2 linked regions of the Callithrix jacchus genome follow. The protein of the gene in region 1 interacts with the protein of each later gene in a pairwise test. Links are inferred from orthologs where the notes say so. Each region holds a gene or a part of one and is shown on either strand. Other genes may lie near its edges.

Region 1 (5,466 bases):
TGGCCGCCAGGCACAGTGGCTCATGCCTATAATCCTAGCACCTTGGAAGGCTGAGGCAGGCAGATCATGAGGTCAGGAGATCGAGACAATCCTGGCCAACATGGTGAAACCCTGTATCTACTAAAAAAAACAAAAATTAGTTGGGTGTGGTGGTGCACACCTGTAGTCCTAGCTACTTGGCAGGCTGAGGCAAGGGAATCACTTGAATGTGGGAGGCAGAGGTTGCAGTGAGTCGAAATCACACCACTGCACGCCAGCCTGGTGCAGTGGTGTGATTTTTGAGAGCAAGATTCCATCTCAAAAAAATAAAAAATCTCGTTTAAAGGTCACCATTGTACCCTCTCTTTGCTCTGAAGGTTCTGCATCAAACTTTAACCAAAACCACAATAAAATTCAAACATCGACAATTCAGTCTCTAATCCTTCTCCAATCAAAATATTTAGATTTTATAAAAAGAAAACTTTTTAATGAACATGAGAAATTGACTTTTTTTCTACAGTAATGTCACAATGTTTGAGCAATTAGCAAGTGCTATTTTTGCCATTTAACCAAAATAGTAATAATTTGCATCCCATTTTTGAAAGACACAAACGGATACATGCAGCATAGAAAAATGAGTTACAAGAGGCTGGGCACGGTGGCTCACGCCTATAATCCCAACACTTTGGAAGGCCAAGGTGGGTGGATCACCTGAGGTCGGGAGTTCAAGACCAGCCTGATTAACATGGAGAGGAATCCCTGTCTCTACTAAAAATACAAAATTAGCTGGGCATGGTGGCACATGCCTGTAATCCCAGCTACTCGGAAGGCTGAGGCATGAGAATCGCTTGAATCCGGGAGGCAGAGGTTGCGGTGAGCCAAGATCACGCCATTGCACTCCAGCCCGGGCAACAAGAGCAAAACTCCATCTCAAAAAAAAAAAAAGAAAGAAAAAGGGGTTACAAGAACAGAGACACCAAGCTATTTGTCTACCTTGCTGAGATTACAGTAGTTTTTAATGTTCATTTACTAGTTTACAGTTTTCTGTGCTTCCTGTAATGAGCAAGCATTGCTTCTGGAAAAATAAAAACCCGTAAGATAAACTTAATTTAGGAAACAAGTAAACTAGGAATTGTTTCTGCAGCACAAAGAACATTCATGCTCCTCTCAGAAGTTTCTGCTTCCTCTGGTGGCATCTTGGGTGAGCAATGAGCTTTCTGCAGAAAAGTCCTGCGGCCCAGCCCTGCAAGGTAACCACGACACCCAAAGTCTGGATCCCTGTTAACACCTCATGTGGCATCCTAAAGGTTCTGGCAAATGAATGGTAAAACAAAGCATTAATCCAGATACCACTTTGAGATTTGCAATGAGATCTCGCCTTCTGTTCCTTCAATGTTTTAATAACTTTTCTGCAAATTGTCATCATTCATTATACAAGAAGGTAGTTTAAAGTATATTTTATAAAACAAGGCTGAAAGAAATTAGAATTACCCCAAAGCCTCTTTTGCCAGAACTAACAATTCAGTCTTACATTTTGGGTCTATAGATATGCAGGATGGAAGCTGGGCCCAGTGGCTCATGCTTGTAATGCTAGTGCTTTGGGAGGCCAAGGTGGGAGGAATGACTGAAGCCAGGAGCTCAAGACAGCCTGAGCAACATAGCAAGACTCCATCTCTAAAAAAATAATTAGCTCGGCATGGTGACATGTGCCTGTAATCCCAACTACTCAGAAAGCTGGGCCAGGAGGATTGTTTGAGTCCAGAAGTTCAAGGCTACAGTGAGCCATGACTGCGCCACTGCATTCCATCCTGAGTGACAGAGCAAGACCCTGTATCTCTTAAAGAAAAACAAAAAGTTACCTAAAATCTAATATAGGTCTGTTCTGAATCACGGCTCCACCCTATAATTTCAGTTTGGCCAGTGGCCGAGAACACAGCTGTGAGTGGCACACACCAGGGTTCTAATCCTGGCTTTATGCTCAAGAGCTCTGTGAGCTTGGGAACCAAGCAGGGTGACCTTGAACCTTATCTTTGTCATAGGGAAATGAGGACTGTCATCCCAGTCCCATACAGATATGGGGAGGAGTTCATCAGAGGAATTCCTAATGAAATGTCTGGCACATTTTAAGTTCTAAAAATGCGCAGATATTATTCTTCCCTCCTAGTACTATCATGTGTGATATGTGCTTAGTGACTCACACTCCGCACGTAAGGTGCCTTCAGATCTTTTACCTCATTTGATCCTCAGACAATGCGATCAGAACAAAAGGCAGTAATTACTACCCCCATTTTTCTTTTATCTTTTATGTAAACAGATGAGAAAGCAGGCTCAAACTCCAAGAGCCAGAAAAGCTGCATGTCTCTTGTCCAGGGCTCTTTTTCCTCTGTGGCACAAAACTGAACCTCAGACGACTTCATGTATCATGCCGAGTGTAAAAAACTACATTTATTTTTAAATGTCCTGCTATTCCTACATTAATAAAATCCAACTGGTATTATCACGTTCCTCCCAATTATTTAGAGTTTGCTTAGTAAAAACAGCCACTAAGGTTTTTTGAGTGCACGCTGGGTATCTCAAGCATTGGGTGAGGTGCTTCACGTCCACGGTCACAGTTAAAGTGCATAACAACACTATGAAGCAGGTACTGTGATCGTGTCCACTTAATAACGGGGAAATTGAGGCATCGGTAAGTCCAGGATTGACATGCAGACTGTCTCCAAACCCCAGCTCATGTGGTCCTAGTGTTGTTCATCTCAAGTTTGTCTGGACGATGATAACACTGCAAAGTGAATTCCCATACAACAAAGCTAACGACACAGGGAGGCCAGATTATAAGTGTTCTCTTTTACAGTTCAGGAGACTGAGGCTCAGGCTTAAGTGACTGACCCAGCCCTGTCCTCACCCAGCAAGGACACAAGGAAGCACTCCCTAACTCCAAATTTCACTGACTTTGGAAAACCTCACATTCCTTTGCGAATATTTTAAGAGTGATGTTGAAAAGCAACCATCCACTCAGTGGGCATCACTAAGAGCTGACCGCGAGACCCGCGCTCCGGCGGTGGAAACCGAGCAGTCTCCGGCTTGGGCCGTGGGCGTGCCTAGTAGGAAGTGGGCGGTGGAACTGATTTCAGAGCAGCCCGTAGCCGAGCCACAGGCACCAGTTCCTGGTCCCTCTCCCAGCCTCCTCCCCCTAGGTGCCCGAAGGGGTGGAACCAGAGATCCAGGGTTTGGGGATTAAGGTGGGTGGGACGTCCCCTGTCCCGTGGGGGCGCAGGCTGGGGAGCACCGCAAGGAGAGTGAGCGCGGCGCAGGTGTCCCGGGACGGATCCAAAACCCAAGCACGCCCTGGCAACCCTCCCCGGTCACCAGGACACGCAGCGGGGGCGCAGGTCAGGGGATAGCTGCACAGTCCTGGGTCTGGGACCTGGCCCGGCTCGGCGCTGGCACCGGGCTAGCAGCCCAAGACTGGCTCTTCTCTCAACCCCGCACGCCGCGCGTCCTGCCTCAGTTTCCTCACCTCGAAAGGGGTTGTCAACAGAGGCACGCCCCGACCTACAAGACTTCCTGGGGGCCAGAGCGCGCCCTCCCTGCCAAGACCCCCCAGGACATGCTAGGACGTGGTGGCAGCTCCCTTACCTGCGCAGTGGCCCACGCCGCCGCCACAGGCGGCCGGGGCGCCCTGAGGACGCCCGCCTGGCATGCTCCTCCCGCTGCCAGCTCCTCCCGCTCCGCCCGAGCGGCTGCTGCTCGCTCCCCGAGGCCAGAGGCGGGGGAAGGGAGCGGCGCGCAGGACGGAAGTGGGGAGGGGGCTGGCGACGCAGGGGGCGGCTCCTTTCTTCTCCTTTGCCAGGCCGCGGTTTCCTTTCCAGGGTTGGCCCCTCACACGCGCGCGCACACACACACACACGCACGCACACACACACGCACGCGCACACACACACGCGCACGCACACACACACGCACACACACGCGCGCGCGCACACACACATGCACACACACACGCGCGCGCACACACACACGCGCACACACACACGCACGCGCACACACACGCACACGCACACGCGCGCGCACACACACACATGCACACACACACGCGCGCACACACACACGCGCACACACACACGCACGCGCACACGCACACACACGCACACGCACACGCGCGCGCACACACACGCACGCACACACACACGCACGCGCACACACACGCGCACGCACACACACACGCACGCACACACGCGCACGCGCACACACACACACGCGCACACACGCGCGCGCGCGCTCACACACACGCGCACACACACGCACACACACACACACGCACACGCGCGCGCACACGCACACACACGCACACACGCGCAGCTGGAGCGGGCGGGCCAGCGGCCCTCACAGCCGGTTTCCGGGATCTCGGGACCTCAGGAAGTTTGCTTTCACTGTGGCTCATTTCTGGAGGAAACGAGGGGAAGTGCGGGAGGCCTTCAGCACCGGGTAGAGGAGGGCGCCTTCCAGACGCGTGATTTGAGAAGTGACCACACAGTGATGGAGAAGATGGAGGGATGTGAGAGACTCAATTATACAAAGTGCGGAGGGTGGGGGGAACAGTGGGGATGACCGATGACCCTGAAAAAAGATGAGTGGCAGCAGATGTTTAGAAATGAGATGGAATTCCAATTTCTAGCATCTTCCAGCCGCTCTGGAGTGGTTCCCGGACACAGGCTGGTTTCAGGACACAGGAGTCCATGCAAGCTTGCTCCTAGGCCGCTGATTCAACCCTTCTCTTTGGTTCATTCAAGGAAGCTACTAGAGCACCCCCTAGGTAGCACCTGCTATATAGGACAATGGGTACAAGGAAGGGCTACACGTGGGCTCTGTGTCCTTAAGCAGCTCCCCTCCAGGCCAGAAGGAGAGCACGGGCATATGAAACCAAATCACATCAGGAGCTAGAATGTGCCATGTACCAGAGGCTTGGCACAAACCTTCTTGCAGGTGGCTCAGGGATAGGAGGGAGGGTTGTGAAGAAGGATTGGGGAGACGTTCTACAGGAAAGGGAAGGCTCTCCTCAGAACGAGAGGAGTTACAACTAGAGGAAGGCTGAGGTCCTTCAAAAGCTGACGATCTTATGAGTGAAAGCATACAGTTGTGCCTAAAATTCGTGTTTTGCCCAGCATGGTAGGTAGTGCACTCCCATCGTTTCAGCTACTCGGCAGGCTTAGGTGGAAGGATTGCTTGAGCCCAAGAGTTCAAGCACTGCACTGAGCTATGATGGGGCCACTGCATTCTAGCCCGGTGACAGAGAGAGACTCCTGCCTCTTTCCCCACGTCTCTAAAAATAAATGGATGTATAAATATCTAAGGCTGGGCACTTTGGGAGGCCAAAGTGGTAGGTTCACTCGAGTCCAGAAGTTTGAGACCAGCCTGGGCAACACAATGAGACCCATTTTTTTTAACTTTTAAGTTCAGTTTGTTACATAGGTAAACTTCGGTCATGAG
Region 2 (5,760 bases), on another chromosome or scaffold:
CAGCAAAAACTTGTCCAAGGTCACTGGGGGAGACAGCAGCACAGTCGAGACTTTCTGACAAAGAGTTTAGTATTTAGTGTGCTTGCTCCTTCTGGCAGCCCCTCTCCCTATCACACAGAGGCCCCATCCCCTGACAATTTCCTCTCAAGGGTCTCTATCCCCAGTCTACCTCCACCGGCTCCTCCCCTTGCCTGAGCTGCCTCTAATTTCGGTGAGCTTGAAATTCACTGGTCATACAGAAGGCATTTTATCTGACCTTCCACATGCAAATTCTTTCCATTGGGATTTCTCCGTGTCCGGCTCCACCCCAGCCCACAGGGTCATAAACACTCATGTGTCTGCAGTGGGGCCCCAGGGATTCCAGAAATAACAGCAGGGCCCTCCATTAGAAGGCTGGAACATAGTAAGGCATTTCTGCATTAAGACACAGGCCCGTTCCAATCCAGGCCTCTCCTGTCTGTCAAAGCACAAAGCAACCTTTACAAGTCAGGACAGGGAGGGGCAGCCACGAGGGAGTCTGAATTTCTGGAAAGTCGGCACCTTCTCCTCCCATCTGTCTGCACTCTCAGATCTTCCATTCTAGAGATTCTCTAGATTCGCTGCAGTCTCCACTGAGAATGGGAAATTCTTTCTTGCCTGTGGCATTCTTGGCCCTTCAATGATCCATTCTCCCTAGACCTGCTGGAATAGGGATCAGAGCAGTGTGAACCCAGATGGCAATTCTCATCCTAAGATGGCACAAAGGCCACTCACCAGAAGGGCAGGACAGTCACCCTACCTGGATGGAGTGAGGGCACTGGGGAAGTGCCAGGAGAGACAGGAGTGCTTTAAAAGGAAAGTGAGATGCCAGGGATGACCCTGAATGGGAGGAGCCTGGGGAAATCTTCCCCACTTCAGCAGGGTGTTCCCCAGGAGAAGAAAATCAGAAATCAATACCCAGGGAGAGGATTTCAGATTTTCAAGTGTCCTCTCACAAATAATACCAGAAACGAAAAGCGTGTGCACAGGCGACAATGATGTGAAAAATTATGTATTTAGACGCATAACCTGGAAAGCCTGAAAGAAACATAAAAATTGATTTTTGGGGAGGGAGATGTTATGGGCAGGCTTTTTTTGGGGGGGAGGGGTAGTTATAGGTGTTTCCCTGCAAATTGTGCTTACTGGCATTCCCCATTTTAAAGAAAACCGCAGAGACTCGCCTGGATCTTCTGGGACATACCTTTTCATAAGGGAATTTTTTTGTTTTAGGTGCCCATCTGAAAACTTGAATGTATCATGTAAATGCCATACTGAAGCCAATGTCTCCATGAATCAATTCTTCTTTAATGGGGATGTGGTTTGCTGAATTCGGAACCCTAGTGGCAACGTCGTTAACGTCTGGGTTTAGTGTCTTGGGATCCAAACCTTTGTCACGGAGGGAAAGGTGGAGGAAAGAAAGGCCCCTGTGCTCCAAACAGCCGATTATGTCACCCTCCCAAGTCCAGCCTCGGCCGGAGCCCGCGAGATGCAATGCACCATCCGCAGCGGGAGACGCGGCCGCCGCCTCGGAGGTCGTGCGCGCCTCTGGGTCTCGTGCCGCACCCAGAAGTGCCGGGGTGGCGGGGAGGCTGAGGGGAGTTGGTAACGGCATCACCATGGCAACAGTGACGTCCTTTTACCCTGGATCTAATTGGAGGAAACCCCGTGGCCGGAGCCGCAGCCTGCCGGCCAACCGAACTTCCCCGCGCCGACCCACCCTCCTAGCCTCCGCGTTCCCTCCCGCCCCGCCCCCTCGCCCCCTTCCGCGCGCTCGGTCCTCACTGGCCCGTGGCGCGTCGGGGGGCGGGACTCTCGGGGCAAGCTCGGCGCGTAATTGGGCGGCGGACCGCCCCTCGGCTCCGGGGTAGGCTGAGACGGGAGGGTCCTCGGCTAAAGCCAAAGGCAGATCAAAGTGGTGGGACTCGCGTCGCGGCCGCGGAGACGTGAAGGTGAGCATCTGGGTTGGCCGCGGGCCTCCTCCGGCCGCTCTGGGCTTGAGGGCCCGGCTGAGGCGCCGCCCTTGGGAGCGGCGGGCTGTCGACGCCGCTCCCCTCAGGGACAGCTCTGGGCGGGAAGGTGCGGGGCCAACGGTCGCTTCCATCTTGGGCCGGCCGGGCGGGGGTGGCGGGAGCGGCCGCGGCTCGGGCTTCCCGCGCGCGGGGCCTCCGTGCCGCCCCCGCCTCCTCCTGCCGCGGGCCGCGGCCTCTCCGGGCGCCTGACGGGGGCGGGGGCTGGGACTGGGGAGAGGGAAATTCAAGCGGCCGCGTGTGCAGGAGACAAAAGCGGGCAGCGGGTCGCATTGTCTGACGGCGCTCCCTCCCTGCTTTTTGTTCTCGCCTCGCCGCCCCGCCCCTCCGCAGCTCTTGAGTCTCCTCCCGCTCCGGGTCGGCGCTCGCCCTCGCTCTCCTCACCCTTCGCCCCGGCCCCGGCCCTGCGCCCGCCATGGAGAAGACGGAGCTGATCCAGAAGGCCAAGCTGGCCGAGCAGGCCGAGCGCTACGACGACATGGCCACCTGCATGAAGGCAGTGACCGAGCAGGGCGCCGAGCTGTCCAACGAGGAGCGCAACCTGCTCTCCGTGGCCTACAAGAACGTGGTCGGGGGCCGCAGGTCCGCCTGGAGGGTCATCTCGAGCATCGAGCAGAAGACCGACACCTCCGACAAGAAGTTGCAGCTGATTAAGGACTATCGGGAGAAAGTGGAGTCCGAGCTCAGATCCATCTGCACCACGGTCCTGGTGAGTCCTCGGCGCGGGGAGCGGGGGAGGCCTTTTGTGGGGTGCTTTTCATCGAGAGTTTCGCGGGCAAGCAAGGAAACGTGAGCCGGACCTTGCCGGACTGTCTGCCGAGGTGGAGGGTTTCAGGCGAGCCCTGGCTTCCCTGGTTCTGGAGACTCCCGAAACCGCTTTTCCAAGGACAAGTCCATCTCTTTTCCCAGATGCTGGGTAGCTACCAAACGATGGAATTTGGAAACATCCAAGTAGGTCTCTGCGAGGCTGAAAGGCGGTTGTAAGTTTTTTGTGCCGGGAGACTGTGTCCCGAGATCTCTGAGCCGTTTAAATGTATTGAGTCGGTTCACCCGCTTCAGGCAGTTGAAAGAAGGCGCAGGCACCTTTTTGTTAGACAGTGTGGTAGGGATTTTCCCCAAACCCGGTAATTGAAATTTACTTCGAAAATCTGAGCAGTTACTTCATTTTTCTAGTAAGAATGTCTGTTGCGCCCCCCACCCCTTATAAACAGGAGAGATGGGGGAGTTGGGTAAATGTTAAAAGGGCACAGCTCTATCTGAAGAACACAATGTCCTGGTAAATTTCAACGTTTAGTAACATTTCTTTGCTGTCGCGTAGCTGTGCACTAGTGTTGAAGCGAATTCGTTTCTGGTTTGGAGCAAGCTTTCCAGGTTTTGAACTGTCCAGCCTTAGCAAGGGTGATTGTTGGGTGGAGTAGGTGGCTGGTGTGATTCACCCTTATTAGTGAGAGAGAACATTTTTAGCTTTGTCATTGCACGAATCTTTTGATCAGTTAGATAAGTTTTTAAAATTGAAATACCAGTATTATATGCAGGAGTGTTTTTTAAACGTTTCAGTGCTGCAGTCATTTCTTTGAATAAAATAGGAAATAATCTGACATGATTTGCCTCTCTTTAAGTGCCACTTTTACATGAGGCCTACTGACTTTTTATGTGTTTGTGCACATCGTATTTTAGGTGGGCTTTGGCATGCTAGACTGGTGATTTTTTTTTTTTTTTTCAAAAGGGAATAGAAAAAATAATTTCGCTCTGGCTCCCTCCCCAACTCCTTGTTTAAAAAAAAAATCCACAGAACTATTTTAACCTATTTTTCTAATACGACGACAGGCGCTCCGAACAAAACCATGGTGGATGGAAATAGCTGGTAAAGGGGCAAAGAAAGTAATGCAGACAGAGTGCGCACTGAAGTGGAGAAAGCTTGAGGTTATTTACTTTATGAAGTCAAAACTTTGTTTTATTCATCGTGTGTTCTTAGCTTCCAGTCCCTGTTTGACGTTGCAGAAGCCCTTGTAAAAGTTCTTTGGACTGAATTGCTTGTATTAAAAAAAATTTGCCCGCTTGAAAGTAATGGTAGACTTCACCTTCAATAACATATGGTAATGGCTGTTAACAGCATTATCTGTTACCAAGGAAAGACTCAAGAATTCCATGTTAACAGGGTTTTCTGTATATGTATTTTGGGTGCTCTCACAGCATATATTTCAGTCTCTTTCTGAAAAGACTATTACTTTGCAGTTAGTAACCTTGAGGCAATTCAGAATCGCCACATAATTTTTCTTTTTCTCCATCAAGGTGACTCTGAGTCAAAGGAATATTTGTTTTATTTTGTGGCTCTTACAAATTTTACTTTTTATGATGGCATAAGTTGGGGGAGAGTTTTGTTTAGTTGATGTGTAGCTTGAGAGAGAGACCAGGTATTATTAGAACTCTCATACAGATCATTTCAATAGGAGAGAACCCCTGAATTTAGGACCGTCTCTTTTATATACTAAGAAGAGATAGAATACTTTACCTTGATGAATCTGAGACACCAAGGCATAAATTAAATATTCATAAAATGGCTTAAGAGGCTAATCGTGGCTTGGTGGCCAGCCTATCTTGGGAAAGCACTTCTTCAAGTTGGCAACTGTATTGAGAGCTTTCTGTGTGCCAGGCACTGTGCTCTAAGCAATACGGGGCAGAACAAAACAGAACTGTGGATTATGCCCTCTGATGATTTATAGTTTAGAGTGCATGTGGGACATACATGAATGTAAATAACACAAGAATATTCCCATCAGATAGTTAATGAACACGATGCTATCTAGTCTGAAGGAAATAGAAACCTCAGAAAAGGGTTCAGAAAGATACCTTTTTGTGAGGTGAACATTGATGGGAGAGGCTGGGGGAGGTGTCAGTAAAGGCTGAAGGAATATCTGGGATAAGGCTTGTTCAGGGAAGAATGGAATGGTGTGGCTGGAGCAGAGTATGTGTAGAGTTGTTGCAGGAGACAAGTCTGGAAAGAAAGGTAGGGATCATTATTTATAGGAGAAGGTTAGAGTAAGGTTTTTTTTCCCCTCATTTGATTGATGAGAAACAGTGGAGTTTTAAAAAGGTTTTATTTATTGTAGAGATGGGGTCTCGTTATGTTGCCCAGGCTGGTCTTGATATTCTGGCTTCAAGCAGTCCTCATGCCTTGGCCTCCCAAAGTCTTGGGATTACAGATGTCAGCCACCATTGTATATGTAGCAGCATCTAGAATTCGTGGTTTGAGTGCTAACTAACCAGTCTGTGATCTGAACTGATGGACAAGTAAGTGATAGACAAGTGAACAAGAGTCTGATAATTGATGAGTTAGTAATTTAGTAAGGAGTCTAGGATAGTAGAGGAAAACCTAAAGTGTCTACACATGGATGCTAATACAGGGTTTTCTTTTTTTCCTTTGGTGAACAGGAAGGAAAATTTGGTGTGGAGGAGGTGAGACTGCATTGGTGGTTACAGAAGACTAGTAAAAGTAACATGAAGGGTAGCCAAAATTTTGATAGAAAAGAGCAGATATTCTTAGTCTCTTTCTCTTTCATAGAGTGGGTTGGGGCAGAATTACTTGAACCCTGCATTCAAAATAACTGAACAACTTTCAACACTTTTGATAACTACTGTATTGAAAGAGGTTACTGAACTGTGGAAGCAGAAAAAAAATGTTAAAATCCAGACTCAAGAGTAAATAACTGTAAGA

Evidence for each region.
Region 2: the proteins of DISC1 (region 1) and YWHAQ interact in a two-hybrid assay, tested with the Homo sapiens proteins (2 studies listed by BioGRID and IntAct). The link is inferred for Callithrix jacchus from reciprocal best matches to the Homo sapiens genes DISC1 and YWHAQ.

Annotation. Positions count from the first base shown.
Region 1 is NC_133520.1:53,272,449-53,277,914, forward strand, and holds the start of DISC1 (disrupted in schizophrenia 1 protein), read right to left. Parts: upstream 3,748-5,466; 5' UTR 3,680-3,747; coding exon 3,616-3,679; intron 1-3,615. UniProt on the Homo sapiens protein: Involved in the regulation of multiple aspects of embryonic and adult neurogenesis. Required for neural progenitor proliferation in the ventrical/subventrical zone during embryonic brain development and in the adult dentate gyrus of the hippocampus.
Region 2 is NC_133515.1:105,347,374-105,353,133, forward strand, and holds the start of YWHAQ (14-3-3 protein theta), read left to right. Parts: upstream 1-1,889; 5' UTR 1,890-1,967; intron 1,968-2,378; 5' UTR 2,379-2,460; coding exon 2,461-2,754; intron 2,755-5,760. UniProt on the Homo sapiens protein: Adapter protein implicated in the regulation of a large spectrum of both general and specialized signaling pathways. Binds to a large number of partners, usually by recognition of a phosphoserine or phosphothreonine motif.